Oryctolagus cuniculus: one gene and its partners. The main gene of each other region encodes a partner of the protein of the gene in region 2 in a complex. Links are inferred from orthologs where the notes say so. Each region holds a gene or a part of one and is shown on either strand. Other genes may lie near its edges. The genes, in order: GRN, SORT1 and NTS.

Region 1 (4,162 bases), on a different chromosome or scaffold from region 2:
AGCCACAGGCCTGGTCAGGGGCCCGTGGGAGGCTCGGGGAAGGGACGCGTCGGGCCTGACCCCCGGTGGCAAACGTTTCCATGAGCCCGGACGTCTGCCTCTCACGTCCCCTTGTCCCTGGGCGTGGAAGTGCCGCGGGCTCGCTGCAACCACTGGACAAGCTCATTGCAAACCGATTGCACACTTCCTGCCGCCAGCAATCAGGGCAAGGGCACGGCTGCTCAGCCTCACTGCCGGCCTTGGAGAGGGCCGCCTTAGGGCATCCAGGACCTTGTGCCTCTATCGCCGACGTCCCCAGCGCACTGGACTTCTAAGTTCTTCTGTGAGAAGTCTGCCTTCTGCCATTTTCCTATTGAATGCTCTTAATCTGTGCGACCGCTTCTAGAAGCCTCAATGCACACAGCCCCCGATCTTTTCAAAACTGCTTGTTGCTGGGAAACGAGAACATTAAAAAGTGTGCAAACTAACAGAAAAGACGCCCGGTGTGAGGCGAACACACCCCTCACCCCTGAGGCCGTGACAACCCCAAGACGTCTCCAGACGCTGCTGCGAACGTCCCCGGTGGGCAACACTGCCCCCGTTGGGGAATCTCTGCTCTCCTCACTCGCCGTGTCCGCTCCTGGAAGGCAGAGCTGACTGAAGCTAGGAGCCACTTGCCCTCGCTGCCCACCCGCGCCGGGCGCCCCCCTGGCTCCGGGCCTGTGCGATCTCCCAGCGCCCCGCCCCGCCCCCGCTGCGACCCAGGTCCTCGCGGGTTCAGCTCGAGCCACTGCTCCCACGGCCGACTTCAATCCCTCCTTCTCGGGCGTGAGCCACCCTCGCTCCTCTCCCTCCAGCACCTCCACGGCACCCGGCACGCGCGCTGAGCCTGACCCGGCCGCTTAGGCGAGGGTCTGGGAGCTGCCCCTTTCGGCGTCCACAGCCATCCCTCATCTCCCCTCGGGGTTCGGCTGCCCGACCTTTAACGCGAGGCGGCTCAAAGAACAGAAGCGGAGTGCACAAAGCTCCGCCGCCCAGCGCCCGCGAACGCCCGCGAACGCCCCGCAGAGGCGCGGCCGGCCGGCGGTCAGCGTCCACAAATAACGCGGGCCCCTCCTCCCGCACACAACTCCAGGCGCCGGCGGCACGCGGCTGGCTGCGAGGCTGGCAGCGGCAGCCCCGGCCGAGGCGTCATATGATTCCCCAATCACATGATCCCAAGAAAATGGGGTGTGGGGAGAGAGAGGAAGGGGAGGAGGAGGCTGAATTGAGAAAAAGAAACACAGCTTTCCAGGCTGGCCCCGCCTCTACGTCGAGGACTAGCCAATGGGGGCGCGGTATCTGGGATCCCCGGCCAATGGAAACAGAGGAGGGTGGGCCAGCGCGCTGAGGGGCCGGCGTCCGTGAGGGGAGCCGCGGCTGCTGCCCAGGGAGCGCGGACGCGGACGCAGGTAGCAGGGCGGCGGCGCAGGGGCTTGGAGGGGGGTGTGGGCTTAGGGGTCCTCTGGCGTCTCAGCCCGGAGGCGAGAGAAGAGCCGCTTGTGGAAACTCCTTTAGGGGTTTCTGATGCACGGGGGTAGGGGGCGCAAGCAGTCACTGCAGACACCCCCACCCGAGGGGGCTTCTCTGCCTCCCAGAACCCCGGGAGCCGCAGTCCCCCCGATTCTTGAGCCTGCCCCACCGCCTGCAGGCAGGTGCCGGCTCTTCCCCTTCTGGCGGTGAGGGTGGGGGGTGGTCCCTGAAGGGGAGGCCCGCCCGCCCGCCGCTTGTCCCGGGGCGCAGAGGGGCTTGGAGCGGGACAGGGGAGAGGTGACTGAACCCCCGGGTGGAGTCTGGCTCTTCCCCAACTTCCTCTGCCGGGGGGCGGCACGAGCTAACTTCCGCCTCTCCCCGCCACTTTTTCCTGCGCCTTCGCAGTTCACCTTTTGGGGAATTTCCTGGCCCCTTGGCCCTGGGGTTGGGAGTGCCACTTAGCGGAAGGTGCCAGGGGCTTACAGAGGCTCCGTCCTCTCCGGGCCGGGGGTGAGGGTGGGGTGAGGGAGACCCTCGCCCCATCGCCGGGGCTGTGCGCGCCTGCGTGCGTGTGGATTCGCCAGAGCGTGCACTGCACTCCCCCCACTCCAGATACAGGGCGAGGAAGATACGACAGCTAGGTCACGGGCGCCGGGTAGTCCCGGGCAGACAGGCCCCCACCTGGCGGCCTGCGCTGGGGCTGGGCACGGAGAAGCAGGTGCAGGCGGCTGCGCGGGCTCTGCCCGGGAGCTGAGGGGCGAGCGCGGACCTGGGGACTCGGTCCAGGACCAGGCGGCTCGGTCCAGGACCAGGCTGCGGCCGCGAGAGCCAGGGGGTGGCCTTCCAGGTGTGTGGGGGGCCGGGGGGGGGTACTTGAGCAAATGCAGGAAACACTTCCATTCCCTGCCTGTGCCTGGACCCCAGGCCCACCCCTCCCATGGTTTGGGGTCCCTTCCCGGGCCGGCGTGCCCTGAGCCATCAGGGCCCGCTCTCACTGGAGCTGGCACGGGGCTGGACTTCTGCCATAAAGCCTCGGGCTCCAGTTTCCCTCTGAGGGTAAAGGTCGTGCTCCTCACGCTGGATGATGGTTGCAAAGCAGTAAACAACCAGGAGTGCCCCGGCAGGCATGCGGCCCGGCCGGGAGGCAGGGTAGCGCTTCTTGGGTTGGCGGCACAGGCCCCGAGCCCGGGGAAAGACTTGTGTGGGTAGCAGGAGGCGGCTTCCCCCAGGAGCCTGTGGCCGGTTCCTCCCGCTGACTCAGATGGGCCGCCCAGCGGGCGCAGTAGCCTCTGCCCACATGTGGCTGCTTCATTTCCAGCAGAGGAGACATGGGGATGGGTGATGTGTTTGGGGACTTGACAGGGCCCTTGGTGGTGTTGGGGGCCCTCAGCACACAGGGATCTGGAAGCTGCCCTTGCCTCCGTGTCTCCTGTCCTGGGTGGGGTGGGGACCGCCGCGGGCAGCAGTGAGGGAGCCCTGGGGAAGACACCCGAGTCTCCACTGGCTGCCACTTCCTGTTTCACAACTTTTCTTAACCCTGTGGCGTCCGTGTCAGGAAGTGACCACTGGGCCCTGCGAGACCACAGCAAGGGCAGGTGTGGGTGCAGCGTTGGGAGGACTGGCTGAGGAGTGGGGAGCCTTGGATGTTCCTGGAGAAGCCCCTCCTGTACCCCAGCCCCATCCTCTCCCCTGGCCCTGAGCCCCCCCCCCCGAGGTGGCCCACGTCTCCACACATCACATCCACAGAATCCACACTGCGTCTCACAAGCCCGCGTCTGCACACTCGCACACGGAGACGCAGGAGTGTCACGTGCTTGGAACATGCAATGACACACAGGGAGGAAGCTGCGTCCGAGCCACACGTTTCTGCGTCGGGACGGAGCTGGGAGGCAGGCTCCAGGTCTCCCGGGCCTGGACGTCGGCCTGGGGCTGCCTGAGCGAGCGGCTTCAGACTCTGAGGCGGCCTGGACTTCAGCTGGTTGACAGGTGCCCGTTGGTGTTCGCAGGCAGACCATGTGGGCCCTGGTGAGCTGGGTGGCCGTCATGGCAGGGCTGGTCGCTGGAACACAGTGCCCCGACGGTCAGCGCTGCCCCGAGGCCTGCTGCCTGGACCCTGGAGGAGCCGGCTACAGCTGCTGCAGCCACGTGCCGGTGAGTGCCCGGCTAAGAGCCTTCCCAAGGCGGGCAGAGGCCTTCGGTCTATTCTCTGGCCTCTCTTTGCAGGACAAATGGCCCCCGACACTGAGCAGGCGTCTGGGCAGACCCTGCCAGGTGGGTGCCCACTGCACCCACGGCGCCTCCTGCGTCCTCACCGTCTCGGGCACCTCCAGCTGCTGCCCCTTTCCGGAGGTGAGGGCACCGCTTATGCAGTGGAGGGGCTCGGAGCTGCCTTTGCACTTTGCCTGCCTGCCTCCCGCCCCCCGCCCCCTCGGGTAGGAGGGCCATCCCGACGCAGGCGCCTCTGTGTCCCACAGGCTGTGTCCTGCGCGGATGGCCGTCACTGCTGCCCTCGGGGCTTCCACTGCAGCGCGGATGGGCGAGCCTGCTTCCGGGCGGCAGGTGCGGCAGGGGCACAGGGGAGGGCCGGTGGGCCCGGAGCCCGGCCAGCGGAGTGGCCCTGTGTCTTGCCCTCGTGTCCTCGTCATGCGGCATCTGCCCTATGCGACCTCCC
Region 2 (3,646 bases):
TAGATAAATATATCTTTATAAAAACTGAGGGAGGGCCTGCCTTCCTTGTCCAACTCCTTTAGGATCCTGTCCATGTCTTCTGCAGGTAACAAGTTCCAAAGGATTATTACATGTGATGTGAAGCAGTTCCTCTTACTTGCCCTAACATTACCTCATTTAAGCCACACAGGAGTTCCTTTGCCTTTATATAATTGACTAACTCTCTGCCAACCAAGTAACTAATCCTTAAGGCTGATGATCCTGAACTCCAGGGCGCCCATCTTGACAGCCCTTAAACCTTGATGGGACACAGAGACCAAGACTACCGATGCTACCTCTAGTCTCAAGACCAGACCGCCATCTCTGCCTTCAGTCTTGCATAGGGTCCAGACCCCAGTGTCCTGCCTGCTGAAATCAAGCTGCCAGGCTACGCCCTACAGTCCAGTGTCCTCTCTCCTGTACCGCTTTCCTTGGTGCTTGTTCTGTTGCTTTCTAGAGATGCTTTATTTTACTGGCTTCCTTCTTATACTGCTTGTCTCTTCCCACAGTTGCCAAGTCAGGATTTCTGTAGTTTGTTGCTGGTTCTGCCCAGTAATTACCTGTGCAATATGATTATCTGTCCAATAATTAACAACTTTGGTTCCCTGTCTCTGTGCCTCAATTTTCTTGATAAGCAGCAGCTTTCCACTCTTGGGGAGTGGATTTCAATATTTTTTAGCCCTACGACAACTCTTTCATCCTCCAGCATAGGAAAGGGGCTGACAAAAAAGTCTGGGGAATGCAAATACCAGAGGAAGTCCTCCAGGGAACAGGGACAGATGGACGGCTGCTTGGCGACAACATAGTCTCGACCGTTCTGACAGACGGAAGATTTGCGTAGCCGAAGGTACTGTTCTTTATATCCCAAAATGCAGCCATCTTCATGGTCTCCGGGGTCTGTGGAGTGCGCCAGCCATACGGTGTAGTCTTTCTCTTCACCTAAAGGACAGACGGACTGCTCAGGAAACCATGCGCACAGAACCCACCCACGGAGGCAGCTGCCAGGCTACAGAAAGAAGGACAGGGAGACAGGGAATGGCTGACTCAGCTTCTTGCTTCATTTTGGAAGTGCAGACAAAAAGTCTAGAGTCAACTAGCAGTGGCCATCTCTTCACGCCAAGAGGGGGCTCTCTCCCCTCCCCTACAGTTGGAGGATTCGCAGAGACCTTGTTTGTTCCGGGAGGGAGGCTGGGAAGAGGCCCTCCAGAGCTCATTCCAGGCTGAGGGGTGGCTGATGCATGCCTGGAGCACCTCTGTCCCTGGCCAGCAACCACATGCTTTCCCATCAGCCTCAGGGGCTCTTTGTTTAGGACAGGAGACTAATTAACAGAGCACAGTTTCAATTTCACGTGTGTGAGTTTGCTTCAAACACAGGGAAAACGACCTCTTTCTACACTTCTAACTCTACCCAACTGGCTCCCAAATGCAGACTGCTGGTGGCAACAGTTTCTGGCTTAGTATACTGTCTCTTCTGTGCCTGGAAAAATGACTCAAAGGCTATGCCCTGAAGACTGTGGATTAGGTTTTCCTCCTTTGGGATATGAAGACCAGCACAGAGCCTGTTTGAAGGGCAGGTAGAATAAATCTTTTAATGATTTTAACTTTAGGGATAGCTATTGAACTGCCCTCCGAGGGGAAGACTCATAAGCCAGTTCTTTTATAGCCTAATTAGTGAATTTAGAGATAGTGACCCTCAGGTATTAAATCATAATTAAACAGGGTCCAAACCAACAGCTGTGTTTCTCAGGAGTCACTGAATTAACACTTTGAGGAAATGGACCCATAACAATCTTCAGTGAAGATGTCCTGACGTTGAGTCTTTGACTGTATTATGCCGACGTGGAACACAGATCACTTTTTCTCCAGGTTTTCCTATTTCTCTAACTGTCAGCACTGCTGGCACTGGAGTCTGGGAATACCGTGCAGTGAACACTGAAGCCCTTTGCACATCTCGTTTGAAGTCACAGAGCTCTGACGGGGCTTCCTGTCGGCCCAGTGGCCACTCTGCAGCCTCACCTGCAACTGAGGTTCTGACCAAAACTGCATGAGAGCGTCCTCACTTCAGCACACTGAGATGACACAATTAGATGCTCTTTCGCAATAGTTTCCTCTAAAATTTCCTCCTCACAGTCCCACTACATTTCCCTAATCAGAGGTGAAAAACCCTGAAATGTTATGAAATCATTTTAGACAAATACTCAGATACTATTCCTACAAGCAGGACAAAAGCCACATAAAAGTTACAGAGAGTGCTCTAACAGTGCAAAAGCCCTACTGTGATAAGGGGTAGCACTAGACCCACGTGGCTGGTCTGGTGTAAGGTTTGCTGTGTTAAATATATACCAGATTTTGAACACTTAGAAGAAAAAAAATGAAAAAAATCTCACTAATCATTTTTTTAGAGAGATAGAGGGAGTTATAGACAGTGAGAGAGAGACAGAGAGAAAGGTCTTCCTTCTGTTGGTTCACCCCCAAAATGGCCACTACGGCTGGCATTGCGCCAATCCGAAGCCAGGAGCCAGGTGCTTCCTCCTGGGCTCCCAAGTGGGTGCAGGGTCCAAGGACTTGGGCCATCCTCCACTGCCTTCCCGGGCCACCACAGAGAGTTGGACGGGAAAAGGAACAACTGGAACAGAATCCATTGCCCCAACTGGGACTAGGACCCCGGGGTGCTGGCGCCGCAGGCAGAGGATTAGCCTAGTGAGCTGCGGTGCTGGCCTTACTAATCATTTTTAATATTGCTTGAATGTTGAAATCATAATATATTATCTATATTAAGATTTCACCATTCTTTTCACTTTTATAATGTAGCTGACAGAATAATTGAAATTACTTATTGGCCCTCGTATTTCTCTTGGATAGTGCTAGTCCCAAGAAGGAAACTGCTTTTCCGGTCCATTCCACTGCTTGATTATCCTTCAGTCCCTTGTGTATGCATTTGCTTATTCCAGCTAAAAGAAATGAAACTGAATTGATTATTGAGAGAAATAGGCTTACAAGATTATGTTAGAAAAGGTTGAAAGAGGCACTTACAGTTCCTTTCAAGGATATCCTTAAAATTGATGGTGTAGGAGACCCACTGGCGGGTCAGGAAAGACTCTGTGAAACCCCAAATGCTGATGTTCATGGACCTGGCCCCGGGTTCCGAAGCCAGGCCGGTGAAATAGATGGGCTCCGTGGTGAACGTGTAGGTTTGCCAGCATTGACCTTCATCTGTAGAGAACCTAAAAGCACAATCAGAGAAAGACCATGGCAGATGATCACTGTGTTCAGGGAATGACAGGAAACCGCTCTGGCTATTGGATCCCAAACTAGAGACAAACCCTTTTGAAGTGAGGGCTTACAATTATTTTAATTTTTAGTACCACAGTTAACAGGGCAGGGAAAGGGGATTCAAACAGAGTACAGAGTAAATACTTCTATAAAAGTCATTTCAAAGGAAGAGGAAAGGGTAGTGACCCAGGTAAGAATGGCTTTTAAATTAGTAAACTCAAGTTATTTTATAAGAACTTGTACACTCAAGAAGTCATTTCTAACCCAGAGTTGATACGCTTGATACTTGCGTAATATTTGGGGGTTGAGAAAGAATGTTTTTAAACAGTGACAAAATGTGTAAGCTAGAGGGAGT
Region 3 (3,646 bases), on a different chromosome or scaffold from region 2:
TAACATTAAGATATAACACTAACTGCAAGTCAAATTTCACCAAAGATTCTTGAAATTTTCCAAACACACGTTCTCAAATAAAATGTGGTGAGTACCAGCATAGTACTTAATACAACTTATTCACCCAGTTTCTCATTGTAGTTCTGTATGATGAAACTTAGCTGTCGTGGCTATAGTGAACCTAGTTTAGCTGCTAAGAATGCCTGAAATTCACAAACATTTAAAATAGGACTACAAACACATGCACAGAGTCATGTATTTTTCTTTATAAACAAACACAAATCAAAGAGTTCTGGATAAAAGTGGAATGATAAAAATATATATCATATATATTTTACAAATTACAAAAAGATTTTATTTGCATAATGTATTTAAATACAAATTAAATTTAAAAAATGTAATGAAAGGTATATATCTCCCTATCTTATATGTTTTATATAAATGAATGTATGCATAGGTATATGTGTATTTTATTTGCATAAATTTAAAAAATGAAATGAAAGGGATATATCTCCCTATCATATGTTTTATATAAATGATTGTATGCATATGTATATGTGTATTTTATTTGCATAATATATTCAAATGCAAATAAAATCTTTTGTGTTTATTCTGGTTTTATTTGGAACACTTTGCATCTTGCATTTGTTTGTAGATAAGTAAACACATGACTTTGTGTTTCTAAGAAAACGTTTTGAATTCCTTAAATTTCTTAGACATGCCACAACCACCACCAACATCAAAAATTGCCAAAACATGTCATCCACTTAAGCATAATAAAGCATATGGATCAAATCTGCCTTAAAATCTATCCCTTTTTAAGATTTAAGATAAAATATTTTTTCTAAACTCCAAATATTGTAAGAACTCTTTGAAGATTTGGAGGAATATTGATCTCAGCACATGGTTTATTCTTTAATATTCGTGATTCTTCCTGTTATGATATGATTGGGATAAAAAATCAATACAAATGAGAGCTAACTAGTTTACATATAATTATATTCATATTTTGTTTTTGTTTTACCTCCCAGTGTTGAAAGGCTCTGCTGTGGCAGATTTTTTGGAGCTGGTATATTGTCAGCATTGCTTCCAAGCTAAAGCCATCTAAAGTGGTAGGGAATCTCCTTCTTGTAACAAGCTCCTCTTCACGAACCTCTCCTGTTTCTTCAGCTTGGCTGTTCAGGTTATTCACAAAACTGCAAACATTGAGCAGGGTCATTTTCCAAGAAGGAACACTTGCTTTAGTGATCTGAAATACAGAAGGCAAAACAACTATTTGAAATAAAACTTGTGGAATATGAGTAAGAAATAAATTTCTATTAAGTTAATTCATGGCATTTTGGAGTTTAATTGTTACTCTAGCCTAATAAATATAGTATTGCTGATATAATAACTTCATGTCATAAGTTAAATTCTTGGCATTCTCTGGATAATAGAATACATAATAGAGTTAGACACACATACACACACATACATACATGCATATACACAACAATTATATATGAAAGTAAGATATTATAGATGGTGGCCAGTAGACATATATATGTCTACACATGTCAGAGATGAAAAAACTAAAATTCAAAAAATATAATTTGCTTTTCATTATGTTCCAGCTTAGTGCCTAATGCAGCAAGAACTAAAATGATATTAATAGACTTGGACAATTACAATAGTGTGAGGCTGTTAACATATTCCTCACATTAATACCTGTCATGCAAGCATTAGAGCTGACCAATTTATTTGTGAATTATAATTATAATATTTCATGGAATTTATTTTCTAATAAGGCCTTTGTTTAGATTTATTTTATTTATTTGTAAAACAGAGTTACAGAGAGTCAGAGTCAGAAACAGAAAGAAAGTTCTTCCATCCATTGGTTCACTCTGCAGATGGCTACAATGGTCGGAGCTGCGCCTATTGGAAGGCAGGAGTCAGGAGCTTCCTCTGGGTCTCCCATGTGGGTGCAGGGGCCATCTTCTACTGATTTCCCAGGCCATAGCCCATAAGGGATGCCCATGCAGCAGACCAGGGCTTTAACCTGCTGTGCCACAGTGCTGGGCCCCTCTAATAAGGTCTTGTTAAAAACCATAATTAACCATGATCAACAATGTTCCTCCATATCAACAATAACCAATAAGAAAACAAGGAGTAGGAAATCCCCTAGCAGTGAAATACTCAAAATGAGCAAAAAATTCAAAGGGCACAAATATTATTTTTTCTCAAAGACTAAAAAAGAGATTTAAATGAACACAAGGGCATTATGGACAGGCTTAATTATAATAATATCAAGCTATATTTTTTCTGAACTACTCTCCAAATACAATGTAATTGTAAATCAGTGTTCCAGTGTGGAAAACACAGGGATCCTGGAAGTTGCAGAATGGGATTTGGCAGAATAATTATAAAGGTTTGACCGAGTGAGAACAACCAAGAAGATGTAGAAAAATGGTGTCAAGGAAAGGCTTATTCTACTAAATGTTAAAATGCATTTGAAAGCTACAGTAATCAAAGGGGTGAATTAATAGTGCAGGGATAAACACAAAATCTAAAGGAAGAGAATATAATGTTCCAGAACGGACCCAAGTGCATGTTTGTGTGTTGTATACAGCAAAGGTTGCATCTCAAATATTTTGGGACAGTTATCTATGGAGATATTTACATGCAGATATGATTATAACCTTTTAAAAAGACTTATTATATGTCTGTTTTTTCAAAAGCAACATAACAGAGAGGGAGAGAGCGAGACAGAACTTCCATCTGTTGGTTCACTCCTCAAATACCCAAAGACAGGGCTGGGAATGGCCGAAGCCAGGAGTCAGGAACTCCACCCAGATCTCTCATGTGCGTGGTAGGGCCCAAGTACTTGGGCCATTTTCTTCTGCCTTCCAAGGCACATTAGCACGTATCTGGATCAGAACTTGAGTAGCCAGGACTTTAATTGGCACTCCAATATAGGACATCAGTATCGCCAGCAGTGGCTTAACCCACTGTGATGTAAAGCCAGTCCCTAGTTAGAACTTTTTTGATGTGTTATTTTCAAGCAATATCCAGATAGATTAATATGAATAAAATAAACTACTGTGAAAATGTAGGACAATTTATTTTACAAGCCAGGAGTGATAACCTTAGCAGATTCTAAATCAATTTCCATAAAGACAAAGATGATTTTAAATACAGAAATGTGTAAATCACCAATATCTCTATGGAAACATACAGCATCCTGAACTCAATCAAAATCAATCTATGTAGAAAAAACTGGCACAAAATTTTAGTATCCTTAACACAACTATTAAGATTTCAAAAAGAGGGGCCAGTGCTGTGGTACAGCAGATTAAAGCCCAGACTTGCAGCACAGGCATCCCATATGGGTCCCAAGTTGAGTCCTGGCTGCTCTACTTCTGATCTAGCTCCCTGCTAATGCACCTGGGAAAGCAGCGGAAGATGGCCCAAGTCCTTGGGCCCCTGCACCCACATGGGAGAATGGAGGAAGCTCCTGGCTCCTGGCTTCGGACTGGCGCAGCTCCGGATCTTGTGGCCAACTGGGGAGTGAACCAGCAATGGAAGACTTCTCTCTCTCTCTCTCTCTCTCTCTCTCTCTCAATGTGTGTGTGTGTGTGTCTGTCTCTCCTCTTTGTAATTCTTTCAA

Evidence for each region.
Region 1: the proteins of SORT1 (region 2) and GRN are in contact, whole or in part, in a crystal structure (PDB 8T8S), measured with the Homo sapiens proteins. The link is inferred for Oryctolagus cuniculus from reciprocal best matches to the Homo sapiens genes SORT1 and GRN. Residues at the interface, in NP_002950.3 of Homo sapiens: Leu108, Gly110, Ser111, Val112, Ser113, Leu114, Ile174, Gly175, Pro176, Lys260, Tyr304, Ser305, Phe306, Gly307, Leu308, Phe314, Ala315, Ser316, Arg325, Ile327, Phe350, Tyr351, Ser352, Ile353, Leu354, Tyr395, Thr398, Gly399, Thr402, Phe404; in NP_002078.1 of Homo sapiens: Pro578, Arg579, Trp580, Asp581, Ala582, Pro583, Arg585, Arg590, Gln591, Leu592, Leu593.
Region 3: the proteins of SORT1 (region 2) and NTS are in contact, whole or in part, in a crystal structure (PDB 4PO7), measured with the Homo sapiens proteins. The link is inferred for Oryctolagus cuniculus from reciprocal best matches to the Homo sapiens genes SORT1 and NTS. Residues at the interface, in NP_002950.3 of Homo sapiens: Val112, Ser113, Leu114, Ser115, Trp116, Lys260, Tyr304, Ser305, Phe306, Gly307, Leu308, Phe314, Ser316, Arg325, Ile327, Phe350, Tyr351, Ser352, Ile353, Tyr395, Gly399, Thr570, Gly571, Leu572, Ala573, Trp586, Trp597; in NP_006174.1 of Homo sapiens: Leu152, Tyr153, Glu154, Asn155, Pro160, Tyr161, Ile162, Leu163.

The regions. Positions count from the first base shown.
Region 1 is NC_091448.1:18,942,915-18,947,076, reverse strand, and holds the start of GRN (progranulin), read left to right. Parts: upstream 1-1,277; 5' UTR 1,278-1,430; intron 1,431-3,497; 5' UTR 3,498-3,504; coding exon 3,505-3,642; intron 3,643-3,714; coding exon 3,715-3,840; intron 3,841-3,965; coding exon 3,966-4,050; intron 4,051-4,162. UniProt on the Homo sapiens protein: Secreted protein that acts as a key regulator of lysosomal function and as a growth factor involved in inflammation, wound healing and cell proliferation. Regulates protein trafficking to lysosomes, and also the activity of lysosomal enzymes.
Region 2 is NC_091438.1:61,110,724-61,114,369, reverse strand, and holds part of SORT1 (sortilin), read right to left. Parts: intron 3,243-3,646; coding exon 3,052-3,242; intron 958-3,051; coding exon 768-957; intron 1-767.
Region 3 is NC_091442.1:88,635,907-88,639,552, reverse strand, and holds part of NTS (neurotensin/neuromedin N), read right to left. Parts: intron 1,250-3,646; coding exon 1,025-1,249; intron 1-1,024. UniProt on the Homo sapiens protein: Neurotensin may play an endocrine or paracrine role in the regulation of fat metabolism. It causes contraction of smooth muscle.